2 linked regions of the Oreochromis niloticus genome follow. The protein of the gene in region 2 purifies or fractionates together with the protein of the main gene of each other region. This does not show direct contact. Links are inferred from orthologs where the notes say so. Each region holds a gene or a part of one and is shown on either strand. Other genes may lie near its edges.

The links.
Region 1: the proteins of ptpn18 (region 2) and pstpip2 purify together in Homo sapiens (affinity purification with mass spectrometry; 4 studies listed by BioGRID and IntAct, with this or other methods). This does not show direct contact. The link is inferred for Oreochromis niloticus from reciprocal best matches to the Homo sapiens genes PTPN18 and PSTPIP2.

What each region holds. Positions count from the first base shown.
Region 1 is NC_031972.2:17,157,799-17,167,849, reverse strand, and holds the start of pstpip2 (proline-serine-threonine phosphatase-interacting protein 2), read right to left. Parts: upstream 4,115-10,051; 5' UTR 4,003-4,114; coding exon 3,967-4,002; intron 3,190-3,966; coding exon 3,089-3,189; intron 1,055-3,088; coding exon 980-1,054; intron 1-979. UniProt on the Homo sapiens protein: Binds to F-actin. May be involved in regulation of the actin cytoskeleton.
Region 2 is NC_031984.2:3,703,144-3,713,125, reverse strand, and holds the start of ptpn18 (tyrosine-protein phosphatase non-receptor type 18), read right to left. Parts: upstream 3,681-9,982; 5' UTR 3,591-3,680; coding exon 3,519-3,590; intron 1-3,518. Other genes in the region: gripap1 (GRIP1-associated protein 1), read left to right, coding at 5,234-5,281, 6,824-6,890, 8,344-8,405, 8,577-8,603, 9,585-9,692, 9,781-9,946. UniProt on the Homo sapiens protein: Differentially dephosphorylate autophosphorylated tyrosine kinases which are known to be overexpressed in tumor tissues.

The sequences.
Region 1 (10,051 bases), on a different chromosome or scaffold from region 2:
GAATTACTAAGTTAAATGAATTAAATGCATAATACATGTAATTTGATACCAATTTGATACCAGTCGTAGTTTGTGATATGACTGGTCTTAAAATGGTCTTATGAATTGTGTATTCTGTCTAAAAAGTTATAATTTGTTATTTTTCACTTGCCAAAAAAGAATAACATTTTTCTCCATAGAGTTCCTCCTTTTCACCCCCTAAAGTGAAACTGGCCGGCAGGCCTCTGAATCAGCGACATCTTTACTATTTGAATTATAGAAATATGAGTCAGACAGTTCTGTCTGACTCTAAATAAAATGTTCAGTCAGATAGAACTACTAATGAAAGACAGTTATCTCTGACAGTTTCTCTAACTCTAAAAAAACAACACCAATCATTTGTCTAGAATAGATCAACTAAAATGCTGTAAATAACTATCAGAACAATGAAAGGACATCCTGACAACACATCCATTCTGTCTCCTTCTAACTGATCTCAAGGTTGCTTTAAAAACATAGATGAAAAATGCCTTTACTGCGGTTCAAGTAACTCCTTTGATAGGACATCTTTAAAAGACGAGTCTATCAATAATGCACTAAGATTTCATAAAGTAAATTATGTAGCTAAGTCGTTCCTTTCTATAATTAGTGCGAGCATTCATTAAACAGGAACTAGGCTTGCTAATAAAAGATCGTGGTAGCGGTGTCATATAAAATCTGACTACATCAACATTAATAACCAAACCGTCAATTTTACAGAAGTTCAAACTTAATTTCGAAATTCAACTTGTGAAACAGACTGAGAACAACAACAAGAACCTTTGGTGAATAGACTCATTGTTTTCTTTGACCTTACTTTCTGCACTACACCTGAGTCCAGACTACAAGGTACTGTGTCAGTACTGCAGAAACACACTCATGCATTAGATGGGGTGAGGCTTCCTGTAAATACAGCAGGCCAAGCACATAATAACAGCATATCAACACAGAGGTCGCTTACTTCATCTCACTGTGTCCACACACCTTCTTGGACAAACTAAGGAGTTCTTTGGCATACTTCTCTTCAACTGATGCCCTGAAAGAAACAACCCATTGAGAGTGAGGGCAGCGTAAAAGCATACATGCAAAGATTCGGCCAACAAACAGAACAGTCTGCCAGCCAACAGACTGTATATGAATTTACATGCAAAACCCATACTAGACATCTCTGAAAGGTAATGCTTTATCATAAATTTACATTTATACATCCCTTAGGCTTCACTATCAGTATTTTTTAGAAGTTATAAATTTACATATTAAATTATTAACTGATACAAAAAAGACAGGACAACATTTACATGTGTGGTGTTATAATTGGAGTCTGTTCTTTCTCTGAAGAGTTTTGACAGGAACATTGATGCAACGTTGGAGAAGAAAATGGAAAATAATTTATCAATTCTAATATGCATTGTACAATGATAAATATTAAAAAAAACATACATATAAATATACAACTGAATACAGTTTTACTATACAAATGCATGAGCATGCTATAATGCTGACCGCTTAAAATATGCTTAATTTGCTTATCAATGCTAATAGGAGACTTAAAATAAAATGCAACTCTAACAGACTCAAATATAATTACACAGCCACAGATCAAGATATAGTTAACACTATTTACAAAAAATCATAAAACATGCGACTCAAACAACCTAAACCAGGAAGTTCTCACACTAAGTTTGACCTGAGTCCTCCCTCCACACCGGCGGGCTGTCGTGGCTGCTCTTTGGTGTCCTGAAGAATTTGTTTTTGCATAACCGAAAGCTGAAAGAATTCGACTGTTGCCGCCGTTTCCCACAAAACACCTCATTCTGACCATGTTTCCTTACTCTACTTTTATTTTGGTAAATCTTCCCACAATTACTGTTAAAACCACTGCGGTTTAAAAATGGTGAGTCCCAAATTAGGAAACGTACAGTTATGTTTTGGCATAATATCCTCCTTTTTTCATAGCATTAACCTCACTAGGTCACGTTTCTGACTACACACTGGACTTTTATATGTGTGGAGTGTTTTTGTTTTTTTGGTATGCGTATGTGTGTGTGGGAGAGCACGGACAGATTAATTATTATAAGAGGAAGATGAATTAATGATTAGATGTGAAAGTTTATACGTCTCTATTATAAAACCTGATGCGTCACATCATTCCTGCTTGACTGGGACTTCATTTCTGCTCTACTGTGATCCACCGACGCATCACCCCTCCCTACCCCGGATCCAACGCCACCTCCAACGCTTACCTCCCCTCTGATGTGGACATCGGGTCAGTTGGAGGCGCAGTCGAAAGATTGCAGCTGTCCCAGATCAGATGTACACACTGGAACACTTTCCCATGTTGCTTGTCTGTGTTTATTGTGCTATGGTGTGTTGATATCTGTGCATTCCTGTATTATCCTTTTGTGTTACACATTTCGATGTTTATTTCCTCGCTACCTAGCCTGACCTGTCTCCCCAATGTGATGTTTGTGTATTGTATGTACGGTCGGCAAGGTCTGTCATCTCGGTTGCGGGCAAAAGACCTGCAACTGACAAATAAAGGCTATCTCATCATCTCTCATCTCATCAACAGTGTGCAGAATTAACCTTAGAGAATTTTTAGAAAGCAGAATTTTACTACTTTTCTGGTATTTAATCATATAACTGCGATAGTGCGCTTTGCACAAATTACAAGACGGTAGGACGTGTTTGTGTTTGACTGACTATATAATTAATAATCAAAATATGTATTTATCTGATTTTTTTTTTTAGATTATAGCAACTAAAATTTACTTTTTTAGGCAACTTTATTTGTTGTATTCCAGTACTGTCCTTAATCTCAAAATGCTCTAAATGCTGTCCTCCTCCACTACACTTGTCGTTCTTAGAGTTTATTTTCTTTTCACTCTCTTCATCCTAATTGCATGCCTGCAGCCAAAACCTGCACTACATCTACCTATCTTGCAGTCAGTTACATTGATAGCAACAACTGGCCTGTAAATGTAAAGCTTGAACACAGTTTTCCAGACTTTGGTTAGAGCCAAACATCCCATCAGTTGTGCATTATTATATATAAGGATGACGGCATTACCTGGCTTTCATGAAATCCTCCACCTCCTTGCATGTCCTCTTGCCATCATTGAGATACTGAATGATGGCATCATACCCGATAGTGGAGGTCAGGTCCGAGTTCTGTCAGCAAGATGCACAGACAGTATTACAGCAGACAGTTTTACAGCAAAGCACATATCTTAAAAGAAACAGAGAGCTGTACCTCTGCTACCTCTACTCCCACACCCAGGTTAACTGTAGGACAGCCACGCTCTGGCTAAACTTGTTTAAACATCCCTACAGACATAAACGAGCACTGTAGCTTCAGAATAATTGACTCTGAGTGTAATTAATGTTTGGGACTAGGCATCTCTGTAATTTAGTTAAGGTGAGGGCAACAGCTTATAATCAACTTGCCAGACTTTCTATTGGTTTAAAATACACCATATGAGGCCATACTTAGACAATGCAAAAATCCTGCAGTGAAATTTAACTACACATATTTGCTTATGTTGCGTAGAAGTTATTGGTACTCTCAGTATTTCCACTCTAATCTGCTGGATTATTCAGTTTACTCTTTACACCACTAAAGGAAATGACATTTACTATTTACACTGCAGAGAGAGAAACGTGATCTGATAAAACATTGGTCAGGTTACACATGACTGCATTACCAAAAACTCCCCATCAGTTCATATCAAGTGTTTTTAATAGCTTAGTTTTGATGCTCCTCTTTCCATACTATTTTACGAACGTTAGATCCCTCAACAGGATTCCCGTTTCTAATAATTAATACAATACAAAAATACAATTTTTTATTAAACCATCTGAAGCTGAATCAAAAAATAAAATGTTTCAAATTCCAATCACAACTTCACAGAAAGACAAACAAACAAAAAAGACAAGAAAAAACCTCACCCAGAAGAAATCCTTAAAATGAAGGTTCTTCATCATGTAAACGGAGCAGGCAGCAGACAGGCGCTTTATCGCAAGCACTCTCTGATCATGTAAGAGAAAGTGCCGACTGTCAGGCAAGAGCTGAGTCTGTCAGGCAAAGCCCGTCAAAGTGACGCAAGCGCAGTCACGTGACAACTGGAGCGCCAAAAACTTCATCGGATTCTTGCGCTGAGCTTGGTTTTGCCGCCATCTGATGGCTAATGGGCGTACTTACAGTGTTTACAGTTGGTATAAACTGGTCCGATAATAATAACAATAATAATAATAATAATAATAATAATGATAATATTAATATTAATAATAATGTTGAGAAGAACAACAAGAAGAAGAAAATACAACATGATTTAAGTAGTTCATTTGAGGGGGTTGATCCCTAACAACAAATAAAACTAAAGTAGTACACTGTAAGAAAACATATGAAATCCTAATTTGTAACGTAATCGGTAAATAGTGCTGTTAAATAAACACAGTGTAGACAAATAGGAAAACCTTACAGTGCTGTAATACCAGCAGTAGCACAGTAATGGATTAACTGCCCTTGAGCCTTTCACTGCTGAAGATTCAAAATAGCCCATGTTAATGAACAACCTCTTCAGCATCAGGGACAATCCATCATTGTCCCAAGGTGCAGGACTGAACTATCCCTTTCGATCCTTTCTATCGGTGGCTATTACACTGTGTAACTCCTAAATAACTAGAAACCAGATAGGATTCATATTTATGTTTGGATTTTATTTCATTGGTTTTATCTGTGTCGTGGTTTTTGTAGCTGGGCTTTATTCTGTCTTGATTCTTGTGCACATTAAAGGCACAAGAATTCTTATCATTCTACATGTGTTATTAATTAATATCAGTTAATAAGTTAATCAGTTACCTGAGTTGGCTTTAGTTTTACTTTTCAAAGGTTGTAAGGGTGCAGCGGTCATATGTAATTATATTAACTGTAGTGACACACAACTCTCGTTTATCATTTTCTTTTTAAACTACGTTGTACTTCAGGTCCCCGACAGCAGAGGGCAACATTTCGCTTTTACACAGCTGCAGTTACTTTTTATTTTTAAATAAATGAACTTTACTGAACAAACAACGAGTAGACAGCATACAAATAGATGAATTATACAAAAGAACAAACATGAACACTCAAAACAAGCTATGATGTCCTATTTCTCATAAATTTTAAAACATGCCACTTCAGAATTTCCCCATCACACGCCAGTCAGTATAGTTTGAGTATTTGTGTCACTTATTCATACAAGTATTAATGTGCATGTCTAGCATGTTGATCTCGGACAGGAAGTAATTAGACAGACAAAAAAGGAGGGGGTGTATCTTCACTCAAGTTTCTATATTATTCCAATATAAATTGATGTTTTGGATGTTCTGATTTACCAGCAAAGGAATTTCCAGTGTGGGTGCTTATGGAACAGCATTCCATAAGCACCAGTAGTACCAGTGTCACACAGATTTTTGATTTGAGCCCTGTAACACATTAAAAATCAGGCATGGGCTGCTGTGGGTTAGGGTCCTACACAGGTTAAACTTAACTCAGGGTAAGTTTAAACCCAGCTGACCTTAGCTTTACAGAGAATCCATTTACATGTTTTTGCTGTCTCACAAATTGACCATACAAATAAAATAAATTTTAATAATAATCTAATAAATCAAAATTTAATTCTTAATTTAAAATTTTTTCCACTTTAACCACATGAATACGACAGTTATAATATTATTGCTAATTTATAATATATAATAGGGAACAAGTGTTTAATATTTACATATAAATATATGCATACCTTTAGGTAAAGTTACATTTCCTAAGAATTTTTACATTAAATGATCTGAATTCACTTCAACCCAGATGGAATGAACGGCTTATTTAACGAACAGCTTGACTATTAATGTCACATCTGTGTACTCTTCATTTGTCACTATTTACACAAACAAAGGTCAAAGCCTGTCAACTTTTTTTTGTTCACACAAGCTACCTGCTCCCATCACAAATAACACAAGCACCGACTTCAAACCTACCCCTGAAAGCCCCCCAAAAAAGTCAGTGTGTTTTCCAATTTATTTATTTATTTCCACCAAAGCAATGTCACTCACACAAACCCCAACCATGAAGTGGAAGATTAATGGGGTGATTTCCTCTCAGAGACGTTGCAAAACAACACAAACTTTCATAAAAAAGGTCACAAGACTGCACAAGAGAGAAACCATGATAAGCCTGTTGATTTACATTCAAAACATATACTTGTACCTTAAGGACCTGGCAATAAAAGAAAACCTCAGAGGCCAATGCATTTTACAATGCTGTTATCAGCAGCAATGACACACCTGCTGTAACCATGTGACCACTGAGCTCTGTGGACAACTAGCAGCTGTGTGAAATGTGCAGTGGTGCCACTTAGATTTGCCCCATTTAAGTACGTTTACTGTAGTACAATAATAGTAGTAGTACAGTAATTAAAATATAAAGACATTTTCCCACTAACCTTTAAAATTGTTTTATTGCCATACAAGTACTATATATAGAGAGACATAAAAATATACATAGAATTATACCACTGTATACATATTTAGTATACTAATAAATGCCTGTTTCGTGTTATTGTTATGAAAGGAAAATGACAGGATCTGTTCAGCCTGTTGCTAAGTGGATACTGTCACATTCAGGTGTGTGGAGAAGAGAGAGAGGACCCAAATGCAGGACTCTCTGGCTGGTTTGGAATGGAGTAGGGATTTATTACAGAGACTGAACTGAACATGAATGACTTAACTACATTGGAAACACACACGAGGAGTTGAGGACAACGAGACAAGGAAACGAGGGCTTAAACAGACAGGATAACGGACAGGAAACAGGTGGGATCACAGCTGGAATAAATCTAACTAATGTCACAGGGGAAGTAGAACTAGACATAATGCAGACGAGACAAAAGACTATCACACTAACCAGGAAACATACATGGGAAACTAATCAATGACAAAAGTTGGGTCCAACACCCAGGTACCCTGACAGATACCAGGCAAGATGAGGGGATCATAAATATATCGTACATAATTTTTCACTTTCTATATGTTTTTTTTTTAAAAAAAAAAATGCAGAAATGTAATTTGAAATTTGCTCTCAATCTAAATTCGCTCTTAATTACATGGCCCTTTAAAGGAGGCCCATCATGTGTTTAGCAGCCACTAGGCTAAACTGCTGACTAGTTTACACCCTGTTAGTACAGGGTTGGGCCAGCTTCAGCCTTCAGTATGGCTTTATTAATTATTTGTGGCATAGAGGCTGGAAGCAGGATTAAAAGATTGGTACACTCTGGTCATCAAGACTCAGGCCAGGCAACACTTTTCGAATATTCTGTTGTCTAACCATGAAAAGCCACTGGGAGTTGAGGCCGGAATTTCCTCTTTTGCTTTAAGCTGAGTGGATATTTTCTCTTTCTCTTACTAAAACTCTAGAGATGGTGACGCGTGGGGAAATTCAAATAGATCAGCAGTCTTTGAAACTTCCAGGCCAGCTCATCTGGCACCAGCAACCACGTGACTTTTAAAGTCACTTTAACTTTCTTCCTTATTCTGATACTCGCTTTGACCTTTCACAGGTAGTCTTGACCTTGTCTGCATGGTAAATGCAATGAGTGCTGCCATGTGATTGGTTGGATGAGATATTGATGAGCAGCTGAACAGGTTTAATAAAGAGGTGTTGAATGTATATTAAAACCAGACCGACTAGCTATAACAGTAAACATTGTGGCATAGGTATTAACAGACCCATGATGCCACATACATTAAACATTTATATTGTGGTACTTTCAATAATCTAGATTTCTTAATCCTAAAGTTTGGACTTTAACTCAGTTCTCAAAAGCAAATACTTTTTCCTTAAATAAAGAAATAATACTGCAACTCTCTAAGCCGTCGTATCACCTGATTTTAAACAGCGGTATATTTTACAGGTACTTCCCATTTCGTACGAAAGGAGAAGGCATACCAAAACAAGTTCATGGCGCTTGTACTAAGCACAATGCAAATAATGCACTTTTAAGGAAGAAGCGCAATGCACATATCTTTGACTTCCACGTCACAAAGTTTTTCATCACCCTTTAGCGTAAACAGGTCACGTGCCCAGTGTGTGTAACGTGATTAGAGTGGTGTTGGCCTTGTTTGTTTTTGCATTAATTCAGTCACGGAAACTTGCGTGACACCGGTTAATGCAAGGTTTTGGTGTAAAGAAACATTTTCTCCAGCTTGTTGTTTTAAATATTCTGTGTTTGTGTTTATATAATACGTCCAATGATATCTGTCCTGTACATGGTGAACAGTGAACAGTGTTTCTAAATATCTAATCTTATCGGCCAGGAAACAAAATGTGGCTGTGAACTGTTGCCGTACATTCACTCTGTACTGTTTTCTTTATGGTTGGTTTGTGAGCTTTTTTCAGTTAACAAACTGGTCTGATGAAATGTTGCTTCGGTGGAACTGGTTCACATATTGTTTTGCTTTCTCTTTGATTTGGTTATGAGCTCATTCTAAGACTTCTAACTTTTTTAAAAAACATATGTACGTGTCAATTTCTATTGTCCGTGTTATTCTTAAATGTGACTTTCGAAATAAAGTATAGTGTAGGATATATATCTTTAGCAAAGTGAAAACATACTAAGTTTTAACCATTTTAACCTTTAACACTACTGATTAGACGCTCGTAAACAAAGTAGGAGGAGGAGGAAGTTGACTCGTGACCAACAGGGGATTTCTTTTTGAGTATGTGGCTGACGTATGTAACATGTTTAAAAGCCGGTCTGTGCTATCAATAGCTCAAACCTGTTTCTTAACATCAAGTCTCAACACTGTTTTGTAAGAAGCAAGACGATCCTTCTTGTTTTCGGACTATTATCTTTGAGAAAATGGCCAGCAAAGGTGAATATATAAACAGATCTGATTGAGGAAGTTTTAGTTAAGCCCGATATTTTACTAACAGATTGCGAGTAATCGACTGATATGATCTAACCGATGTCTTCTTCCCTCAGATAGACCCGTGGGTGCTGCTGCCGCTGTTGAACTCTGCGCACGCGAGCTTCGTCAAGCCGGCGATGAACTCTACTGGAAATACAAACTGCTGGAAATACTTATCAAGCACTACAAGACTGTCGCTAATGTCAAGTGAGACATGATGTGAGAGCTCATCAAGAGGAAGCGTGTACTATAAATCTGACTGGCCGTGAGCCTAACATTAAAGAGGAGTCTCATATATAGATTCATAACTGGTGGCAATATGGTAGCCGTAAGTGGGATGTACATATGTTTGTGGACACATCTTGCTGGAGTCGCTGGATTTGGACTGGCAGTGGACTCAAAGGAAGACAGGAGCTCTCCAGAGGAAAACTTGTGGGATGCTGTTGATCCGCCTGATACAGATCGGTGACGAATTGGGCCGAAGAGGAGCTTCAGAATGGATGATACCTGCTAAAGATGCTGATTGTCACATGTATATATACCGTATACTATCTGTGGACATTCATGCATGTTAGCTCTGTTAAAGGTTAAGCTGTAACATTTAGATTAACTGACTAAAGGAAATGACACTTGTGAATCTATAAATTCTGTGAATCTACTTAAAATGCATTTTAAAAAAATGTCAGCATAAGTGGAAGTGTGTCATGAATAGTTAATAAAAAGATATACATGCAGTAATTGTATTACTTGGTCATGTGTAGTATCTGTTTGTATCGTGGGTATGACAGAAAGCGGTTTGTGAATGTAGTTAAGAATATAAACAATGCGCATTTTCTATGATCAGAAAATGGTTAAAACTGAATTAGAAGGATTCCTGATGCTGGGTTTGTTATTAAATAGTATAAGCGCTGTGTTTTTAGTTATCCGAGACAACTGGTGTCAGGTTCTGTCTAATAAGAGCAGCTGACCTCAAGCAAACCTATGACTAGATTGAAAAGGGTTTCTAACTTCACATCCACAGCTATTGTGCCCACAGCAGACATGATTCTGAATTGTGGTAGGAGGCATGAAAACAACGAGTGTAACACCA
Region 2 (9,982 bases):
AGCGTGATGGATTTTTATTGTAGTCCAAGGTTCGCTGTCCAGGAAATGAACATCAGTTAGTGTCATGGCCCCTGAAGTCATGAAAACACAGCTGTTTGTGTGTATGTGTTTTGTGGTGAATGGTTTCAGTGTAATGTTGACACTAAACTCTGCTTTTAGTAACTCTGCAGGTTGTTTCTGCTCATTTCTAACCTCACTGTGAGTTTAAATTCATTTCATCTCAGAAAAATGTGAGCAGAGCAGAAGTAGCAAAGTGACAGGCTTCTTACCCTGAACACAAATACGTTTCGTGCCCCAAAATAATTAATTTAGCAGCACCATGTGAATTTACATCACTATTCACTCGATCCAGTCACGCAGGATGTAATGCCCAATCAGGCCATGTGACTCAGCCACACACCGATTAAATAAGTAGCAGAAAAAAGGACCTAAAGGTGTGAATTGTACTCTGATATTAGGATACAGGAAAACAATAGCAGGGTGACCATTTTAAATATTGGAGTATGAAATACGCCTCACACTGATTAATCTAACGTTAAAAAAAGTTTCAATACAGTTAAAGAAAATTAGCAGAAAGCTGCAGTTTCCTTGCAGCTCAGCAGCAACAGCTACACGATGTCACCATGATCATTGTTTCGACTAAGAGTTGTAATGTGTACCTAAATATATGGCGATAAATAACACATGTTTAGAGGACAACACCGTCCTGAATATGGGAGGATTGTTTGGATGTTCCTCTGATCACTGAGCCTGAGAGTAGAGGACAGCATCAGTTTGAAGTCTAGAACATCTCATCTTAATTAGCGAATACCGCGCTGCGCTGTAGACAAAGCAAAGGTGGAAATCTCTCAGCATTGATATTTCAGACACTCGTCTGCTGTTCCACCACAGCGGGACGGTTGGCTTTGACATGTTAAATAATGTAAAACAGTTAGAGCAGTTTAAGATCAGTGCTCACTCGACATACATGACTTTCAGACTGACCACAGCATTAAAGCATTTATAGTCCGAGTTATTGTACGTCCTGCTGGTGTAAAATAAATTAGCCAGTTCTCTCAAATAAAATGCATTTCCTTCTTGTTTTATGTTATAAAATAAGGATGTAGTTTGATTTTCACAGAGAAATAAGATGATAGATGGTTGGATAATGTCAACAGTTTGTTTTAGCAAAAGCAGGCTTCCTTGTTTGATTCAACAGTAAAATAGAAAATGATCAGTTACCTGATATTTAAATTTATAATTACGCTGGATTTGTTTCTGGACATAAATTTTATGTGACTTTGAAGCTGGCATTACACAAAGTTTTTAAAGAGTCTCTTATCCAAGCAGCCACTTAGGAAAGACAGCAGGATAAAGGACACTGTGCAGTGGGGTCAGGTTCATTCATGAACAGAGCACAAAGTGGACCTAGAAGATGCAGATGGAAGACAAGTTCAAATTTTTGAAAGCCACAAACGAGGGAATTTACCACAACCCCCCCAAAAAACAACACCTTGATCCCCGAGTCTGACGAAAAGCCAAAGACTGACCAGCAGGTATATCCACACCTTGACATCCACCTTTGTTGTACTGTTCGTGTTCCATACTAATTCAATCACAGGACCCTCGGCTGCATTACTGTGACAATGACCACACACATTACGTGGCACTCGATTGTAATGGAAAACTGGTCAATCCAGCTCGCCCTGGCGAGTTGATCCAAGTAGGTAGTGATGGAAAAGAGGCTATACAAACTTGATGGAACAAACAGGGAAACCAGACAACGATGGAGACAGAACTCTGGGAGACCAGACGGACATGGGGACATGACCGGGGAGAGAGAGGGGGTAACAACACAGAAACAGGAGTGCCTTCCACAGGAGACGCCGATGACAAGGCGCAGACGAGACTGGGAGAGATTAAGGAACAAAAGGGAACTTGCATAAAAAAAACAAGAACCAAGAACTAGAAAGATCAATAACAAACCTACAAGGCCCTAGGAAATGTTAAGCTGGAGACACATACAGAGAACTAATACAAAACTAGAACATGAAAACCTCTTAATTCTAAAGAAATGAGTAATAAGCCTAAAACAAGCACAGAATACTGGGTCAGAGACGCAGGACCAGGACACTGAAAAATACCTAATTTGACTGATTGCAATCATATGCAAACTGGCCATCTGCATATAAATCTAGTTCCTGCAGCTTTTTCAGGAGGATGAGTCGATATTCTGTCAGTGTCTATCTGGCACATCAAACGAGAGTTTGGACCATCACACCCTTGCTGGTACTGTTACCATAAGTGTGTCTGTTGGTATGATCATGGTAAGATGTCAACCTGGAAACGCCTACAGAAGTGAGTCTCGTCTCTTTGTCATGTTCCGATAACTCACAGTTGCTGTGGCTTTTGTGATCCACTGGAAATTATTTTTAGTATTTTACTGGCCTGAGTTTCACCTCTGAGGCTAAACATAAACTTAATAAAATACTAAAATTAAAAAGAAACGTCATTTTTGTTTTCACTTACTGTTTGGTCAGGGTAAGGCACCAGTGTTACTCGGTTCAGATTAGAAAAAGGTCTTATTTTGGGTTCAGATAAGCATGTTCACCGTCTTAACCCTTTGCATTTTAAATGGCATGCTGAAGAGTACCGTGTAATTGAAAGTGTGACACAGAGGAGTGTGACGTAAGACGGACCGAGTCATAACCTTTCTGACAATGAAGAGGACTATTGGACCCGTGTGAGGTTTGTAAAAGCAGAATTGATGGCACAGTTGGTTTCTGTCTGGTCTGGACTGCAGGTGTTTATTCTAAAAATAAAATTTGAAGAGAAATGGACTGAGATTGGACCCCTGAGGAACACCCGCACAACCTGTCAAAATCCGGTTTGAAGTCTTTGAGACTTAACTGAAGTGAAATCACAAATCTTTGTGTTGAATGAAGACAGGCAGGATTAATAAAGCAGGTTTTTGAATAGGTGGAGGAAAAGCTGGAGCTCTTAGAGAATTCAGGACCCTCTTAATGTATTAATGTTAATGCTTAATACTAAAAACAGGGTACAGTGCTGATGGCGTTCATGAAAATAAGAGTATCCTCAGTCTGAAAACAACCTAATATGGTGTGCATGTTAGACTCAACCTATTTAGCTTTGCATGTTTTACACACACCAGCCTCACGTGACTGAGTTTATCTGATTATTGGCTGCAGCTCATTTGATTAGATGGGTCAAAGTTGAAAACAGAGGCAGGTATTTCCAGGAAAGTGCAGCACATAAAAGAAGTCGTTGACAGAGATGAAAAGCAGCGAAGTTAAAGGTCCACAACATACAGAAGTTTGTGCATTGTGTAAAAATGTGACGTATAGGAGAAAAACTAACCTCAAGCTCAACCTCAGAGTTACTCAAGCTGTTCTCAATTGTCATCTGAACTTGACAGTGCATTATTACTGCACTTTTATTTCGTTGGACCAGATTCTCGAGGATGTGAAAGCTCTCAAACTGGCTTTTCCATAAACTGAGGAATGAAAACAAACACTCACACTGTACTCCTGATCCACAGTCCTGGGATCGACTGTCTTCAGTCTGGACAGCAGCGAGGGCAGCAGCTCCATCTCGAGTCAAGTAACATCCAACACCTGAGCCGAGCTCGTGCGCCTCACTGACTCTACTCTCCTGGCTGTAGGCTGATCAGCCAAAACTGAAATTGAAATAAGCCTCTCTCTCTCTCTCTCTCTCTCTCTCTCTCTCTGTCGCGCGCGCTACCTCTACCTCTTAGTTCTCTCTTTCCCTCTGTGTCTCAGTTCTGCCTCTGTCTGTCAGTTAATAATTTAACACCAGCTAATTGAGCCTCTCTCTCGCTCTCTCTCTATCCGAACTGGAGAACAAGGAAGTATGTGCACAGTTTGAAAGAAATCACAAAAACTTTACAACTGGTTACTTCACTGAATTTTAAAGCGTTGGTGTGTTACAGAAATATATTTCCTTCCTGAAGCACACAGCTAGTGAGTAATCTGGCACAGGCTGCATACCATGTATGCAGTCAGGCAACCTGTTTCACCTGTGTGTTCACCAGACAGTGTGCAGAGATAGATTTTCTTGATAGAGAAGTGTTGACAGAGGTGGAATTTAAAACCACTGCCTTGTCTGAAGCTGAAAGATATAGGCACGTGTTTAAAAACACTGAACTGTGATGGACACGTGATTAATTCTGCTTTTTGCCGAGCAGGCGTAGAAAGGTAACTAGATAGAGATCTAACTTATGTAGTTCAAAAGTTGAATAACCACTCTCACATAAACTGGAGGCAATCTTGTGTAGCTCTTTTCTGTTCTACCTGAACACACCTCATTCACACCCACTCATATAAGCATTTTTCTTTTCCTGTCCTTAAGTGCTTTCTATCTAACAAGGATGTTTTGTATGCCAGGGCTCAAACCACCAACCTTTATGGCCTGTGCTACCTCCTGAGCTACAGCCCCACCTAAAAACAATAGTAGCAAAAGCCACCAAATACACTCAGACACCTTACAAGAACAAGGTTGGACTACCTTTTCCCTTCTTCAGTGAGTGCTGGGAACACTCCTCAACAATTTTGATCCATATTAACATAATTAAACATGAATATATTATGAGCCAGTGGCTCAGAGCCACATACACAACTAATTCCCATTACTCTGGATCTGATATTTTCTTTATTCATTTATTCAGTAATGAAAATGACCCTGGCTCACCATTGCACATTGATTTCAGCTGTCCAGAACCTAAAATGACACCTTAGCAGTGCTTGTTTTGCTGAGTATTCAAACAACAGCCTTAAGAAAAGAACAGCAAGTCCTCACATGTGAGAAGCGGGAGTGAAAGGTTTTTAAATTTATTTATTGGAATTATTTTGTAAAGGCACCACTCATTTGGCCTTGTTAAACAAAAGTACATAATCTATAACAAAGATCGTATTTCGTTATCTCTCATGATATTTACATGGAAATATAAATATATTTTGTTATATATAAAATCTGACCTCGAAATATTCGCAGGTCTTGAGTAAATGTAGTTCGTAGTGATTGAGGTTTCTCCTCAGTTCTCGGAAACAGCATCAGAGTGAGCGCTCTGTTATGGCGGCTCCTCTCTGTCAGCTGCTCGGTTCTCAGAAACTGCGTCAGAGTGAAACCTCCATCCTGTCTCCTCCTCTCTGTCAGCTGCTGCGTCTCCTCCTCCGCTAGCTTAGCCTGCTAGCTCGCAGCAGCAGGGAAGGTAAACATGGCTATGTCGCAGGCTCTGTCCGAGGAGGAGTTCCATCGGATGCAGGTGAGAAAAACTACAGCGATTGTTCTTTTGGGTCGCTGGGCTCTCACACGTGTAGGTGTCAGTGTGGTGAAAAACACCTGTGCGGTGCAGCATCACTGCCAGGGGCGTTAGCACAGTCTGCTAATCGTGAGCCGTTGCTAGGTGGGAGCGGTTAGAACGGCTAGCTCGGCTGACATTATTCATTTAACGTTGGCAGGAAGGTAACGGGCAGCCCGAGCTTTGACATGCCTCCGGGCGATACACTTAAGAAGGGGAGGAAGCAGACACAACGAGAGAGCTCAGTTCAACACTTAGCCTAGCTTAGCCTCCCCCTCTGTAAAGAAAAGCACAGCGTAGCATTTTTGATGCTAACCGTTATTTCTATCTGACAGCGGGCTAACATGTTAGCATTCAAGGGACTCTCGCCCTGCTGAGAGTCACGGGGTCCGAGGCAGGCTCCCGTGGGCTCCTCTGTGTCGGAGACAGGGCCGGGAGGCTCAAACACCTGTTAACATACTAACCACTGACCTCCCTGACCACTTTAATAGGACTATATACTTATAGAGTCGTTCTCTGTTGTTACACAAAGTGTAAGAACAGGAATCTTGACATGGTAAACAGCAGTAGGGAAGAGTTCAAATATATTTACCACAAAAAAGCCGTTAATACAGCTATTATACTGTAGTAAACGCATTATTTTATTCTGTAATAAATGCAGTTAGGAATAGAAAGGTGTACTTAAAACATAAACATGTGTGCAGGGCTCTTTAAATGCAGCTGTAAGGCTCCTCTGGGCCAGTAAGGTGGGTCCCTACAGGACATCATGCTGTTTATGAAATATTTAGGAAGAAAGATCTTTCTAAAAGATGGAGGTAGCCACTAGTGTCAGCAGCTGGTTTTGGACTTTACATTTGAACGGCCAGTGTTGTGTTTTTTGGTGTCAGCAGTGAGTGTATTTAGGCAAGAGAGTAGAGTGCTCTGTAATGAGCATAAACAGCATTTTGGGTGGGTGTAGCTGCCGTGATGTCACCCGTTGGTTTGTGAAGTCCTGCTACAAAGCTTCAAGATCAGGGTATTCTTGTCGCCCTCTTGAAACTGGATATCTGGGATGGATCCGACTATGCTTGTGTTAAGTGTTTCAGTTGAAGGCAGCTGGACGACTTCTTGGTTCATGAAGACATTTCATCTCTCATCTCAGGGGCATCTTCAGCTCTAAAACCTGATATGGAGTCCCAGGTTTTTAACTCTTTGAGGATGGGTGGGACCACCTGTGCATAAACCAGCGGTTATTTTGCCTCTTGCTGACATTCAGTGATCTCTGGTCACCACGCTGCTGCTTGTTACAGTGCGGAGCACAGTAATCAGTTTATTTACATGTTAAAAGATAAATAAGCTCATCATCAGTTGACCTTTGAAAAGGGATGCAAATACCTACTGGCCAATCAAAAACACAACATGGTTCATGCAGTTTCTAAGTAAAGCTGGTCATAAATTAATACTGGTGTGTGTGTGTGTGTGTGTGTGTGTGTGCGTGTGTGTGTGTGTGTGCGCGTGCTTGTGCAGGCCCAGCTGTTGGAGCTGCGGACTCAGAACTACCAGCTGTCTGATGATCTCAGGAAGAACACGGCAGGTAAAACCTTTCACTCTTTGTCCTTCTAGTTCCTGCTGTTTCATCTCATCAACACTTGAAATTACCACAAGCACACAAGAGGCTCTTTAAAGCAACAGAATCTTTAAAAACACAGATTATGGTAAATGGTAAATGGCCTGTATTTATATAGCGCTTTACTGGTCCCTAAGGACCCCAAAGCGCTTTACATATCCAGTCATCCACCCATTCACACACACATTCACACAGATTAGAAGACCCTTAGCCTAAAACCAGTTTTCCTGCTTCACCTGGGCAGTTTTTGTCCGGGTGAAGGTTTTACTGAAGTTAAAAGAGTGACCTTGCCAACGGGGCAGCAGACATTATAAGAGACATTAGAGGACAAGTGCAAATGTCACACAGTGCATGAGAGAGAACACAACATTGAGATTATATGAAATATAAAATAAAAGATCAAGGTCAAAACTGCTTCAAACTCATTTTGTTGCAAGTTTTAGAGAAAACACACTGTCCAAGAAGCTTTTGTCTCAGGTTTTACAAGTGACTGATGCGAACTGTTAACTGTGGGGCGGTTTACGGCCGTTTCAGATCCGTCTGCATATTATTCCAGGAAAACAGGACTGCATAGATGAATCTTTGTTTGTTTGAAAGGGCAGGGATTAGCTGGATTTTAAAAAGTCATAAAATAAACATGTGTAGTTGGAAACACTGTAAGGCCGGAGGAGGATTTTGGTGTAGTTAACTTAGAGCCGTCCTGTGTAAAATGAATCAGTGGCGTGACTAACAGGCCCTCAAGAACCCAGAGATTTGGGTCAAAAATTTCTGGCCTTATTTTCCCAGCACATGAAAAATTTTAGAGCTAAAAAACACATTTACATGGCTGGACAAAAAAAATTACAGCATATAAAAGGTCTTCTTTCTAGCCACAATTCCTTTGGGTCAAAATCATTTATTCATTCATTCATTCATGGTATGAAGGTAAAAATTTCCGTTGCTTTGTTAAATATATTATAATTATTTAAAAAATAAAACAGCTGATTTGGAGAGGCTCAGGCAGGAAGTATTTTAAGTGCAATGGCCCAATAATAGTAGTAATGATATTTTTTATTTGTCCCACTTTTTAAAATGTACATATTCACACAGAATAAATTGCACACAGATAAGTGTGTACATATCACAGCATAGACAGCATGAAAGCAAGCAGGGTCCTTCACTAGAGTAAAATAACAGAACATGAGATGGTCTATGAAAATGCAAAATATAGGAGGAAACACAGGAGGGAATCTACCCGCAACCCTGACATTCATGGATACAAGCAGGCTTTAAATGCAGTCAATGTACAGGCTCCACTTCAACTAACGTACATGAAATTATTCATCGCATAAATATTTGATCGGCCCATGTTAGCAGTAAAACTTTATTGAAGAGGAAACGCGTGCTTTCTATAATTAAATGTCGTCCTGGTGCATTTCAGAGCTGAATGCCGTCCGTCAGAAGAATGTGGTTTTGGAAAGAGATTTTATCAAAGCACAGAAGGTAACGAACACTTTATTACTGTGGAGTGTTTTTGTAGAGGAGTGATTGGAAAAAATTAACCTGCTGACCTGAATTTGGAGGTTTATTTTCTAATACAGCTTGTCTTCAGTTTTTTTTATTATTCATGCTGCTGATTTATATTAAATGTTTTTCTGCTTTTCTTCTCTTCAGGCCTTGAGTAAGAGTAAGAAAGCTCAGGTAAGCTGTTGTTTGGTGATAATTGTTACCTCAGTGAATTTCTTGTGTAAACATTTTTCAGTTATGTCATTTCAATTGTTCCTTATTTTGTCATTGTTGAAGGAAGACATTTTTCACATTTTTGTATATAGCTGTATCCTGAGAAGCAGGAAACATAATGAGCCCTTCTCTCATCTTTGTCTAACATTTATAGTTTTAGTTTGTTGAACACTGGAGACTTTGTTCTTGTTCACATCCACTCACAGGTTGTTGTAACTTTACAAAGACAATAAAGAAACATTAATCTGAGCTAATAACCAGAGTCACACAGGACCAGTGCAACAGAACGTGATGTGTAAAGGGCTTTAATTCTTTATCACCAGTAATCTGCTAATTGGAGGTTAATTCTGTAACTGAGACTGCAAACCGCAGTGCAAACATCAGCAATATCGAGTAATCACATCTTCTTGTACCATCACATCCACGGGAGCTGTTTAAGCTCTGCTGCTGTGGTGAAAGCTGTAATGTTTAAAGGTCAGTCAGGCAGCAGGTGAACTGGAAGTGCATCAGAAAAATAAGAGTTTAGCTTTTGGCCGCGTGTCATTTCTCTGTTCTAAAGAAAAACTGAAGTACGACTGAACTGTGGTTTTAAAGTTTGTGTTTATTCTCACCTGGTTCTGACGTCTTCTCTTTTTGGCACTTTAGTGTTTTCACTGAAAGTGTTAATTCACTCTGACTGCAACATATTCCACTATGTTTCTGTCGCATTGTTTGGCACAGAAATCCTTTTACCAGCCACTGTTTTGATGATTTAATTGCAAAGAAATGACAGAGATGTAACAATATGTCAAAATACTGGACTTTATTATCACTTGTATTTTATTTCTCCATCAAAGTTTGGCCTGTCTGTCTTTGTGGGTGATCTCAGTAGGAGTTTCTGTAACCTGTAGTCAGTTTTTTATTCTGAATGTATTATTTTGTGTGTTATTTCTCTGTGTGTAGGAGGTGGATGCTTTGCTGGGTGAGAACGAGATGCTTCAGGGGAAACTCCACAGTCAGGAGGAAGATTTCAGACTACAGAACAGCACACTGATGGCTGAACTCTCCAAGGTGAGTCTGAGTGTTTGTGTGTAGTTCAGACACTGTAGAAGCTTCATATCATTATTGTAGTCTTAACATTATAACATTTTTTTCCCAGCTGTGTACACAGATCGAGCAGCTGGAGCAGGAGAATCAGTGCCTGAAGAAGGAAGGAGGAGCAGCCTCTGCATCCAGCCCCCCACCTAACCCTGCTTCCAGCACCGTGGATGGAGAACTGCTCCGCCTCCAAGCAGAAAACTCCACCCTCCAGAAGAAAATGAAGGGTGAGGTGATGTTTAAAAGGTGTAGATCTCTGCAGT